Linked DNA regions of Macaca mulatta. The protein of the gene in region 3 interacts with the protein of the main gene of each other region in a pairwise test. Links are inferred from orthologs where the notes say so. Each region holds a gene or a part of one and is shown on either strand. Other genes may lie near its edges.

Region 1 (4,419 bases), on a different chromosome or scaffold from region 3:
CACCCGCCTCAGCCTCCCTAAGTGCTGGGATTACAGGCTTGAGTCACCACACCTGGCCTCACCTTTACTTTTTTGTTTGTTTGTTTGAGACGGACTCTCCCTGTCTCCCAGGCTGGAGTGCAGTGGTGCTATCTCAGCTCACTGCAAGCTCCACCTCCTGGGTTCACGCCATTCTCCTGCCTCAGCCTCCTGAGTAGCTGAGACTACAGGCGCCTGCCAGCACGCTTGGCTAATTTTTTGTATTTTAGTAGAGACGGGGTTTCACTGTGTTAGCCAGGATGGTCTCGATCTCCTGACCTCGTGATCCACCCACCTCGGCCTCCCAGAGTGCTGGGATTACAGGCGTGAGCCACCACGCCCAGCCACCTTTACTTTCAAAGGAAGAAACTGAAGCTCAGAGATGTTAAGTACAGTCAGCCCTCCGTATCCAACCAGAGATCAAAAAATATTGGGTGTGGTGGCTCACACCTCTAATCCCAGCACTTTGGGAGGCCTAAGTGGGCGGATCACGAGGTCAGGAGTTCGAGACCAGCCTGACCAACATGGTGAAACCCCCATCTCTACTAAAAATACAAAAATTAGCCATGCGTGGTAGTGCACACCTGTAATCCCAGCTACTCAAGAGGCTGAGGCAGGAAAACGCTTGAGCCCAGGAGGTGGGGGTTGCAGTGAGTGGAGGAGATCGTGCCACCATACTCCAGCCTGGGTGATAGAGCGAGACTGAGATTCCGTCTCACAAAACAAAACAAAAACCCCAGAAAATGTTACATTGTTGCTGAGGTATACTATGTAGTTAGGCTTAGGATGGGTGCATCTATACTGAACATGTACAGATTGTTCTTTCTTATTATTCCCTAAACAATTCAGGATCACAACTATTTACATGGCATTTCTTTTTTTTTTTTTAATTTATTTATTATTGTTATACTTTAAGTTGTAGGGTACATGTGCATAACGTGCAGGTTTGTTATATATGTATACTTGTGCCATGTTGGTGTGCTGCACTCTTTTTCTTTTCTTTTTTTTTTTTCTTTTTTTTTTTGAGACGGAGTCTTGCTCTGACGCCCAGGCTGTAGTACCGTGGCGCAATCTCAGCTCACTGCAACCTCTGCCTCCCGGGTTCAAGCAATTCTCCTGCCTCAGCTTCCTGAGCAGCCTCCTGAGTCTGCTACCACACCTGGCTAATTTTTGTATTTTTAGTAGAGATAGGGGTTTCACCATGTTGGCCAGGCTGCCAGTCTCGAACTCCTGACCTCAGGTGATCCACCCACCACAGTCTCCCAAAGTGTGGGGATTACAGGCATGAGCCACCGTGCCCAGCCAACATGGCATTTCCATTGTATTAGGCATAAGTAATCTAGAAATGATTTAAAGTATGTATAGGTTATATGCAAATATCACACCATTTTGTATCAGGGACTTGAGCACCCACAGACTTTGGGGTCCTGGAACCAGTTCCATGAAGATACCAAGGGACACCGATAACATGTCACACATCAGGTCATGGTGACGACAGGCTTTGATGGCCCCAGAGCGTATTGGACCTGGGTTAATATCACTAGTGGCACAATGGGCAGTGCCTGAGAATGGACCCCTACGCCCCAGGGGGATAGGTGCAACAGGTACGACAGAAACAGGGACTGCCTGGAAATCGCACTTGAGTCCTAATCCTGGAATTGCCAACTGTGAGGGCCTGAGAAGTTGCTCCCTGTCTGTGCCTCAGTTCCCCCACGAGTCTATGTGTGGATACCATTGGAGGGGGGAAGGGCAGGAAATGTCACCCACTCAGTCACTCACATCCTCTCTGCTCCAATTGGCTTTCCTCAAGTGCCCCTCCCCTAACTCAGCATCCCGAAGAGGCCACCTCCTGGACAGATAAGGATGCAGTTGACTGGTCCTGGACAGTGGACCCTCTCCTCAGCCCCACAGCTCCCAGGCAAAACACCTGCAGCTGGCACTGCCTACTTCCTGCGTGTTCTCAGCAGGCTGTCCGCTGCCCTGGCTTGCTGGGAAGGGGAGTCTGTCTGCACAGGAGTGTTCAGCTCTCTGGTGAGTTACCTGTGCATGGCCCCTCCTGTTTACCCTGAGTTGAGGGAGTATAGTGTATGCTTCTACTGAATACATGCACACGCATACAGAAACAGGGATGAGGAGGCGAGTCGCAGTCTCTCACGCCACCCTACACCGCCAAAACAGCCAGAGGGGACAGCAGCCTCTTCAAGACCCTAGCTCCGTTATCTTCCACTAGGTGGCAGCCCCCAACTCCGAGTGCCAAGGGGAGAAGAAATTCCCAAAAGGGGAGCCAGCCTAGCTGCAACTGAGCAGGAAAAAGTGGCTGGGAGAGGCGGAAGTTAGCTCGTCCCACCCCCAAAAAGAGGAAGTAAGGAGGAGCCAGACCAGGTTCAGTCACCACTCCCAAGTCCCTACTACCTTCGAGAAGCCAAGGTTTCAGGTCCCGTTCCCAGGCCCTCGGAGCTCCCAGCCCAGGGTCGCGCGCCCCTCCGGCTTCAGGCCGCCGCGGGAACCACCCACCACCACCACGAGAGGGAAAGAAGCCGGCACCTACCGACAGGGGTGGAGCTGAGTCAAGAATGGTGTGGTCCCTGCTTTGGGGGAATGCTGGGGAGGTAGAAAGCCCCCTTCTAACAGAGGTCACTGCAGTTACTGCTTCCTCTTTCCCATAAAACTCCCTCTAGTGTATCAGAACCCCCAAGGAGTTTCAATAAGCGGTTCTTGTCTTGTCTCCGGCTGAGACTCCCGGGGAACCTCAAGCTCACATGGCCCTGGCCGGGCCCCTGGGCAGGAGCAGGCCAGAGGTCTGCGCGGCCGCCCTCCTACCTGCGTCCGGATCCGCGGTCCCTGGGCAGCAGCAACCGGGCAGCGCTCAGACTACAGATCCCAGCGCGGTGACCCGCCTACCTCAGTTTCCATTGGCCAGGGATCAGGGCTGCCGCACTCCCATTGGCTACTTATCAATGTGGAGGTGGGGCCAGCCTGGAATGCTGTGTTTCTTTTCTACTCAAATCACTCTCCTCCCCGCTTCCTCTCGCCCCACACCCCATTTCTAGGGATCATGTGATTGGAGAATCATGTGACGCCGGGCCAGCCTCAGCAGGGCAGCTGGTGCTCGTCGCCTTCTTTCACCCATCCTGCAGGTGCCTGGGGGAGTTTGCTAGAGATGATAGCGCGTGTCTGGGGCATTGACAGTGCGAGGGACTGTTATGAATTGGGAATATTTGTGCTCCTCTTTCTATTCTTTTGTTTGTTTGTTTGTTTGTTTTGAAATGGAGTCTCACTCTGTCGCCAAGCTGGAGTGCAGTGGCACGATCTCGGCTCACTGCAACCTCTGCCTCCCGGGTTCAAGCGATTCTCCTGCCTCAGTCTCCCGAGTAGTTGGGACTACAGGCGCGCGCCACCAAGTCCAGCTAATTTTTGTATTTTTAGTAGAGACGGGGTTTCACCATGTTGGCCAGGATGGTCTTGATCTCTTGACCTCGTGATCCGCCCGCCTCGGCCTCCCAAAGCGCTGGGATTACAGGCCTAAGCCACCGCACCCGACCTTGTGTGTTTGTTTTAGAGAAAGGGTCTCGCTTGGTCGCCCAAGCTGATCATAGCTCACTGCGGCCTGCAACTCCTGCTCCCAAAGCGATTCTCCTACCGCAGGCCCCCGAGGAACTGGGATTACAGGTGTGAGCTACCGGGCTCACTCGCTCCTATCCTATCCTATCCTGCCCTGTCCTGTCCTGCCCTATTCTGCAAACTCGGATGACATGCTAGGCAGGGCCCAGAGTGAGTTGAAGGATGGTTTCCAGGACAAAGATAAACAGCCCAAAAGCCCTTTCCTCCAGGTGCTCAGCAGGACAGGGGGCAGGGATTGGTGGGAGACAGTCTCAGGCTGAATCTAATTTAATATACAAGGTCGTGCGCCAGTTGCCAGGTGTGGGGAGAGGAAGTAGATTGTCTACAGGTGGGGAAGAAGATATTTCATTCCACCTTAGAAGCATCTCCTTGAGCTGAGTTTGGGAAGATTTTAACTGGCAGGTGGAGGAGGTGTGTTGGGAAGAGCCCTGGGAAACCAGATGGGAAGGGCAGGCTTGGCAGGGATTGAATGCCATGTTCAATGCCAGTGGGCTTCAGGAGCTGCTAGGTGCCTGGCACAGGCAGGGCTGTGGCGGGGGCTGTCGAAAGGGAAGTGGCTTCCTAGTCTCCCCTGGCCCTGCCTTCGAGGAATTGATATGGGAGGGTGAGGAGAGAAAATGTACCACAGAACACATTAGCCAGTGACGAGAGTCAGGCTGCTCGGTGCCAATGGGCCTGGGCCAGGCAGAGATGGGTGATGGGAGATGGGCCAGGAGAGAGGAGAGGCCCAGGGAAAACCTGGTACTGGGCTGTGGAGGAAGGGCAGTGTCTGCACAGGGG
Region 2 (3,226 bases), on a different chromosome or scaffold from region 3:
GCAGGGTGTTAAAGTCTCCCACTATTATCGTGTGGGAGTCTAAGTCTCTTTGTAGGTCTCTAAGAACTTGTTTCATGAATCTGGGTGCTTTTGTATTGGGTGCATATATATTTAGGATAATTAGTTCTTCTCATTGAATTGATCCTTTTATCATTATGTAATGCCCTTCTTTGTCTTTTTTGATCTTTGTTGGCTTAAAGTCTGTTTTATCAGAGACTAGAATTGCAACCCCTGCTTATTTTGCTTTCCATTTGCTTGGTAAATTTTCCTCCATTCCTTTATTTTGAGCCTATGTGTGTCTTTGCAAGTGAGATGGGTCTCCTGAATACAGCACACTAGTGGGTCTTGACTCATCCAATTTGCCAGTCTGTGTCAAGCTATTGTTTCTACGAAATAATATATTTCCACTGTAGCCTGACTTTGCCGGGTAGTCCTCCAACAGAGCCCTTAGCCATACCCATCAAAGGTCAGAGGCTTCAAACCCTGCAGCCTGTGGGCCCCACCAAGCACTCAGTGGAGCCCTGGCCTAATTTTGGAGAGACCTGCAGCCTGGGGCATCATCAGAGCCTCTGCTCTGCCATTTCAAAGATTTAGTAAAAATAGTGATCATAGAGTGAGGAGATGAGGGATCCATGATCAGAACTTTGGGGGCTCACTAGGGCACAGGTATGTTCCCAAGCACAGGCATGGGCTGATACACACAGGTGTATAGGTATTTGTGAGACAAGGCTCTGCAATCAGACCCTTTTATTTGTACATTTACTATGACAATGTCCAGGAGACAACAGTAGAACTACTACATTCTGATGACTTTCTGGCCCATAAGGGAAGAGACCTTGGAGCTCCCAAGGACACCATTGCAGGTGATGTTGCCTGAGACGTGAGAGGTGTGAACGCTATTGTTCACACCACTGGGGGAAGGTCCCATAGCAGTTCAACATGAAATGAAACAAAGGTGCTTGCCCCTCATCTCCATCCCTACTGGGCTGGGCCTGCAGCTGCCTCCCTGCTCCTCTCTGTAAGCCCATCTCTGCCCAGGAAGACATTATTCCCTCACACCTGCCCCAGGGCTCACCCCCAGCAGAGATACGCCCCACGGTTCCCACTGACAACCAGCAGTGTCAACCCACAGGGTGGATCTCGCCTTGTGGCCAGGACGACGGAGCATCATCAAACCTGAACACATCTCCCTCTCCTCCAGGCCCAGAAACTGAGGTTCTCCTAACCTCATCCCTCCTTAGGTGCAGAAGTGTTTTATAAGCGCAAACTCCTCCTGGGATGGAGCAGAGGGCTGTCAATTCCAGAATATCGCCTCATTGCCACTGTCCCTGCTTCTGGAGTGCGCTTTGATGCAATCAATAGATTTCTACTGGTTTATCTATGGACAAACCCACATTAGGGAAGACCCAACTCCAGTCAGGAGCCTCACAAACCAGAACATCCACAAACAATGAACCAACACTACTAACACAACAGTGCCTACAACAACAAGGAAAACGAAGGCTTCTCAAAGCCAGCCAGGGGTAGCACAATCAACACAGAGGGGTATAAAGGTTCCAACCACTCAGAACACCTGGCACGACCACTCACTCACTCACTCACTCACTCACTCACATCTCCCCCAGCTCACCTCCTCCGCACCCCAGCATGGCCACATCCACCATGTCCGTCTGCTCCAGCACTTGCTCTGACTCCTGGCAGGTGGACGACTGCCCAGAGAGCTGCTGTGAGCCCCCCTGCTGTGCCCCCAGCTGCTGCGCCCCGGCCCCCTGCCTGACCCTGTTCTGCACCCCAGTGAGCTGTGTGTCCAGCCCCTGCTGCCAGGTGGCCTGTGAGCCCAGCCCCTGCCAATCAGGCTGCACCAGCTCCTGCACACCCTCGTGCTGCCAGCAGTCTAGCTGCCAGCCGGCTTGCTGCACCTCCTCCCCCTGCCAGCAGTCCTGCTGCGTGCCTGTCTGCTGCAAGCCCGTCTGCTGCAAGCCTGTGTGCTGTGTGCCCGTCTGCTGCAAGCCTGTGTGCTGTGTGCCTACCTGCTCTGAGGATTCCTCTTCATGCTGCCAGCAGTCTAGCTGCCAGCCAGCTTGCTGTGCCTCTTCCTCCTGCCAGCAGGCCTGCTGCGTGCCCGCCTGCTGCAAGCCCGTGTGCTGTGTGCCCACCTGCTCTGAGGATTCCTCTTCATGCTGCCAGCAGTCTAGCTGCCAGCCAGCTTGCTGCACCTCCTCCCCGTGTCAGCAGGCCTGCTGTGTGCCCGTCTGCTGCAAGCCTGTCTGCTGCAAGTCTGTCTGCTGTGTGCCCGTCTGCTCTGGGGCTTCTACTTCATGCTGCCAGCAGTCTAGCTGCCAGCCAGCTTGCTGCACCTCCTCTCCGTGTCAGCAGTCCTCCTGTGTGCCTATCTGCTGCAAGCCTGTCTGCTGCAAGTCCGTCTGCTGTGTGCCCGTCTGCTCTGGGGCTTCCACTTCATGCTGCCAGCAATCTAGCTGCCAGCCGGCTTGTTGCACCACCTCCTGCTGCAGACCCTCCTCCTCTGTGTCCCTCCTCTGCCGCCCTGTGTGCAGGCCCGCCTGCTGCGTGCCCATCTCCTCCTGCTGTGCCCCCACCTCCTCCTGCCAGACCAGTTGCTGCCGCCCAGCCTCCTGCGTGTCCCTCCTCTGCCGCCCCGTGTGCTCCCGCCTCTCTTCCGCGTGCTGCGGCCTCTCCTCAGGCCAGAAGTCCAGCTGCTGACGGGCAGGTCCTGTTTCTCCAGAGTTGTTCCAGGGCCATCTCTGACTTCCGAAAATCCTTGCAGCCCTGAGCCCTGTCTGAGTCTCCTCTGCCCAGAGCCACTGTACCTCCAACCGGCAACGCTGAGCCTTCATGCTGAGTTCCCTCCAGGCATGCATCTCTCCCACACCCTCATCTCCATCCTGGCCAGCCGGTGGTCGCTGCGTCCTGCCCCATGTGTGTGATCAGTCTGTCAACGAATAAAGTCACCACTGTGCCCTCTCAGAGGTCTTTTTTGCATGTCTGGCAAGCCCTGGGGGAAGAACTTCGATGTGCTGTGTGGGGCGGGAGCTTCGGGCCTCTGGCCTTGAGCTGCATCCAGGCTGACAGCACCAGGGGCAGAAGCAGTCCTGACTTCCCGCTGTGTGGGGTCTGCTGCTGTGGGGTCCCCTGCCAGCCTCAGCATCTCCAGGCCCCAGGGGTGCCCTTCTCTATGAATGCCCTGCACCCACTGGGCCTGGCCTCT
Region 3 (4,161 bases):
TTGGGTCATGATTTCTGTGAAAAAATGTATGAATTGTGCTGTTTTATAAAAATAGTTCTGAAGAGGTCGTTCTGAAGTGGGCTAAAGTCTGATCACGCAAACTTCATGGATAAGCTCTCCATAACCAAGAATTTGCTATATTTGAATCTTTAAAGAATAGCTTCACAAATTTCACACTGATATTCAATACATGTAAAACAGGCATATAATTTGACTGTTTTTAAATGTTGTCACCTTTCCATCAAAATATCTATGGAAGATTTCTTTCATAAAATATGGTATGTTGAAATACATAAGAGCACAGCAGTACATCTTTTTTTTTTTTTTTTTTTTTTGAGACGGGGTCTTGCTCTGTTGCCCAGGCTGGAATGCAGTGGCAGGATCTCGGCTCATTGCAAACTCCGCCTCTCGAGTTCACGCCATTCTCCTGCCTCAACCTCTGGAGTAGCTGGGACTACAGGCGCCCACGACCATGCCCGGCTAATTTTTTTTTTTTTTTTTTTTTTCAGTAGAGACGGGGTTTCACTGTGTTAGCCAGGATGGTCTCGATCTCCTGACCTCGTGATCCGCCTGCCTTGGCCTCCCAAAGTGATAGATTACAGGCGTGAGCCACTGCGCCCGGCCAGCAGTATGTACTTTTTAAAAGGTCCAGCTTTGTGAAAAATATTAACTGGTAACAATGACATGAAAACATGACATACTTACCGTCCCAAATTGCTTCACATTTTGAGCACACTTCTTACAAATTGTGTTAGTTTTGCTGAAAAAGAAATTGTATATATATCATGTTTATGTAGCTTTCTAAAGCAATTAGCACAATGCCAAAATAAAATGAGTCAAAGATTTGTAGTACTTAAAACTTACTCTAATATGGACCACAGATTTTTCTCAAAAACACAAGGATCTTTTCAGAGTTGTTTTACCCAAATTAACTTAAGACAAATATTTTTATACATTTTTATTGTGTATTTCTTTTTGTATACAAAACATCATAATGTTTCCTATATAGCTCCAAAATCTTCACACTTGCCACTATTAATGCACAGCATTACAATACCAGTGCCTACCTAACCTTCCACTTGGCTATTGTCCAACATTATAATGCCCACACCTATTTAAGAAGAAATTATTTGTTCTTTTCTGAGGCTACTTTCTGTATATACTCTCAGAGCAGAAGTAACTGTTAAAAATGTTACGTACTACTCCTCTTCCATGTAACAAATTACTACATTTCACCCTTGGACGGCAGTTGGTAACACTACAGACTTTTCCTCAGGTCCATTAAAGCTTTACCTTTTTTTTTTAGCGTAACAGTAACTGTTTACATTTGCATTTTCATTAGCAAGGCTGTACATTTTCCACGTAGTAATTTATTCTGTCTCATATAAAGTGTAACGGTAAATTAACAACCCCTGGTTTTTTTGGCAACATTCTCTCCCACCATGTATAAAAGGTTTACAACTTAAAATTTCTGGGGCTAAACCATTTTTTAAAAATACTTTCACAAAAATATGGGATTACAACCCCCAAATATTCCATACAGACAACACTTGTCTTTAACAGTCAAAAACTGTTCAGTATACAAACCTCTCTTGTTGAAATTCTGATCTGCAGTAAGTACATTTTACAATAGGATGTGCAATCCGACATTCCTGTAATAAGACAATACATTAGTCGGTATCTATCTGAAAGTCCCAAATGTCACTTTTCTGGTAGAAAATTGTTTACCCAACCTAGTGAAATGTCTAAAATATTGATAAAACCTGGCCCCAACGTAAGGAACTGGATGCTTTATCATATAAGTGGCCAATCACAATATAATTCCTCAGGGAAGGCATAGGTGTCTTTGTCTTTAGTAGACGTGGGGTATATTACAGACAAATTAAGAAAGCTGTCAGGGCCGATTTCAAGGATTGGTTAAATGTGAAACTACTTATTATTTTGCACCGTTGCTCACAGACAGCATCCTGGCTTTAATGGGATGGGAGGAGCTCCAAATCAGAGCATTCTGTTCCCAAACCAGTCGCTTCGCTTTCCTGGACAGGGAAGGAGGATGCCATCAGCTTTGCGGCTTCGGGTTCCTAGCAAGAAAGTGCAAAAATCGTCCCCTGCCTCCTGGTGGAAGAAGAGGACAGACCAGGCAGAAAACCGAGATGAAAACATCTCCACCCCTGGGTCTCTGCGGTATAGACAGGTGGCTGCCTCACTCAACCCCACCTCTGAGACCCCTCAGACGCTGACGGGGTTCGGCACCCGCCCGGGCCTCCTGGAAGAGGGCACGATTCTGCCTCCCTCTCAGGGGCCGTTCCCAGCTGATGTTCAAGCCCCCAGAAAAAGGGGTCCCCGAGTGGGGAGGCGGGGACACCAGACTCCCAAACCCCCGAGGCGCCGGCAAAGAGAGAGGGGCTGCAGTGCAGCGGCTACCCGGCCCCCTCCGGCTACGACCGAGGACATCCATCCCGCCCTCCTCCCGGAGGCCACGGACCTTGCAGAGCTGCTGGCCCTGGGAGAGCTCCTCGAAGGGATAGCGTTGGGTACACTTGGTGCAGGCGTACAGGGCCGAGGCCGCCATCCTGCTCCTCAGTCTCCTCCTCCGCCGCCGCCCGCTCCGAGGCGGGGCCCTACGGAGAACTCGAGACCCGCCGCCGCCGCCCGGGCCGCGGGCTCCTCCTCCTCCCCCTCCCCCTGCCTCGCGCCCACCAGGGCCTCGCCGCCAGAGCCCAGGGCCCCGCGGACGACGCCACCGTCTCCCTCCGCCTCCACTTCCGCCCCAGCCCACCCAGTGACGCCGTGCCAGCCGCTCCCGCTTAGGCCCCGATAGCGGCGGAGGGAGACGAAGCGGGTAGGGGTTGCTGTTTAGCTGCGCGACCGCGGATCCGCTTCCTTCTCGGCCTCCCTTCCCCATCCCTGATTGGCTGCGGAGGCCACGCGTCACTCGGTGGCTCCTCCCAACCTCCAACTTCCGCGACGCCTGGAGCGCCCACAAAGGGAGGATGTCGCCGGCCAATGAGAGCCCGGAGCTCTCAGCGCGCGAAATCCGCTTTGAACCTGCCCCGCCCAAAGGTCTGCGGTCGCGGCTATTTCTAACAGCCAGTCCCAGGTTTGGGTGAGAGCGCCCCAATCCAATTGGGCAAGTGTTCGCGAAAGGCTCGTTCTCTGCCGCAACTTTTTTATCCTTGCTTTCTATTGGACTAAGTCGTTAAGTCCCTCCTAATCCTATTTGTTATTGGCCAAAAGGTAAGTACTTCACCTGGAGAGGCGTCCCCGAGGCAAACTCACGCTCTCTCCTGCGTTTAATCCGAGGGAACTCGTGGAGTGCTTTAACTTCGCCTTCGCTTTTGTTTTATCTCCATTACTCCGTTCGGTTGCCACTGGCGACAACACTACTCGCCCACGCTTCTTACTGGAGGAGGCCCGCCCCACCGTAGAATCCCCGCAGAGCCGGCCAGTAGCCCGCGGCGTTGTAGGCCCCCAGCAGGCCCAGTTACGCGCTACCTTGTGACGTCACCAGGGAAGAGGCGGATTCTCTCCTGCTACTAAAAGACGCCTGCTGTTTTGATTGGCTAGGGAAGACGTCCGTTAGGACGTGTTGCCTTTTCTGTGTACGGTGTGAGCGTAGGCTGCTCTGAGGGGGTGTGTGGCAGGGGTTTCCAAGGCGAGCACCAGCACCGTTGCCCTTTTCCATCAGGGGTTCAGCCCAGGGTCGCCCCTGGTGGGCGGCTCCCGAGTCTTGGAGAAGAGCACGAGAACCCAGACCGCCCCCAAGGTGCGGAGACCCCCCCTGGGCAGGCTGAAAGATGGCGGCGGCGTCTGTCTCTGCGGCTTCTGGTTCCCAGTTGTCGGTAAGCAGCAGTTGGCGCGAGTGGTCCCCACGTCGGTCCCAAGCGCCTCTTTGAGTTTCCTCACTTTCAGGGCTCTGTCAGTCCAGCTTCTGAGTCAATTCCGGAGGACGGCGGGAGTGCCTAGATTGCCCCGCGCTCCCCAAGCTTCCATTCACTGTTCCTCTGTCGAGACTGCACCCTCTGGCTTCCAGTGAAACTGGAACGGAGACTGGCCGTCTCTGTTCCCCATCCTTCATTCACCTTTCGGCGTAGCAACCCCGGTTGCCTAACATTCTCAAGGCCCAACTGGGATAACTGCCCACTCCCTGGCCTGCGAAAA

The links.
Region 1: the proteins of FAM76B (region 3) and GRN interact in binary tests that used the Homo sapiens proteins (3 or more experiments, as listed by UniProt). The link is inferred for Macaca mulatta from reciprocal best matches to the Homo sapiens genes FAM76B and GRN.
Region 2: the proteins of FAM76B (region 3) and uncharacterized protein LOC711182 interact in binary tests that used the Homo sapiens proteins (3 or more experiments, as listed by UniProt). The two-hybrid records come from large-scale screens. The link is inferred for Macaca mulatta from reciprocal best matches to the Homo sapiens genes FAM76B and KRTAP10-11.

The regions. Positions count from the first base shown.
Region 1 is NC_133421.1:68,721,751-68,726,169, reverse strand, and holds the start of GRN (progranulin), read right to left. Parts: upstream 2,872-4,419; 5' UTR 2,839-2,871; exon of another isoform or gene 2,567-2,838; intron 2,563-2,566; 5' UTR 2,431-2,562; intron 1-2,430. UniProt on the Homo sapiens protein: Secreted protein that acts as a key regulator of lysosomal function and as a growth factor involved in inflammation, wound healing and cell proliferation. Regulates protein trafficking to lysosomes, and also the activity of lysosomal enzymes.
Region 2 is NC_133408.1:2,975,359-2,978,584, forward strand, and holds uncharacterized protein LOC711182, read left to right. Parts: upstream 1-1,513; 5' UTR 1,514-1,647; coding exon 1,648-2,265; coding exon of another isoform or gene 2,266-2,403; coding exon 2,404-2,721; 3' UTR 2,722-2,725; downstream 2,726-3,226. UniProt on the Homo sapiens protein: In the hair cortex, hair keratin intermediate filaments are embedded in an interfilamentous matrix, consisting of hair keratin-associated proteins (KRTAP), which are essential for the formation of a rigid and resistant hair shaft through their extensive disulfide bond cross-linking with abundant cysteine residues of hair keratins.
Region 3 is NC_133419.1:96,600,508-96,604,668, forward strand, and holds the start of FAM76B (protein FAM76B), read right to left. Parts: upstream 2,898-4,161; 5' UTR 2,573-2,897; coding exon 2,486-2,572; intron 2,082-2,485; exon of another isoform or gene 1,967-2,081; coding exon of another isoform or gene 1,958-1,966; intron 1,653-1,957; coding exon 1,588-1,652; intron 761-1,587; coding exon 706-760; intron 1-705. Other genes in the region: CEP57 (centrosomal protein of 57 kDa), read left to right, coding at 3,798-3,842. UniProt on the Homo sapiens protein: Negatively regulates the NF-kappa-B-mediated inflammatory pathway by preventing the translocation of HNRNPA2B1 from the nucleus to the cytoplasm.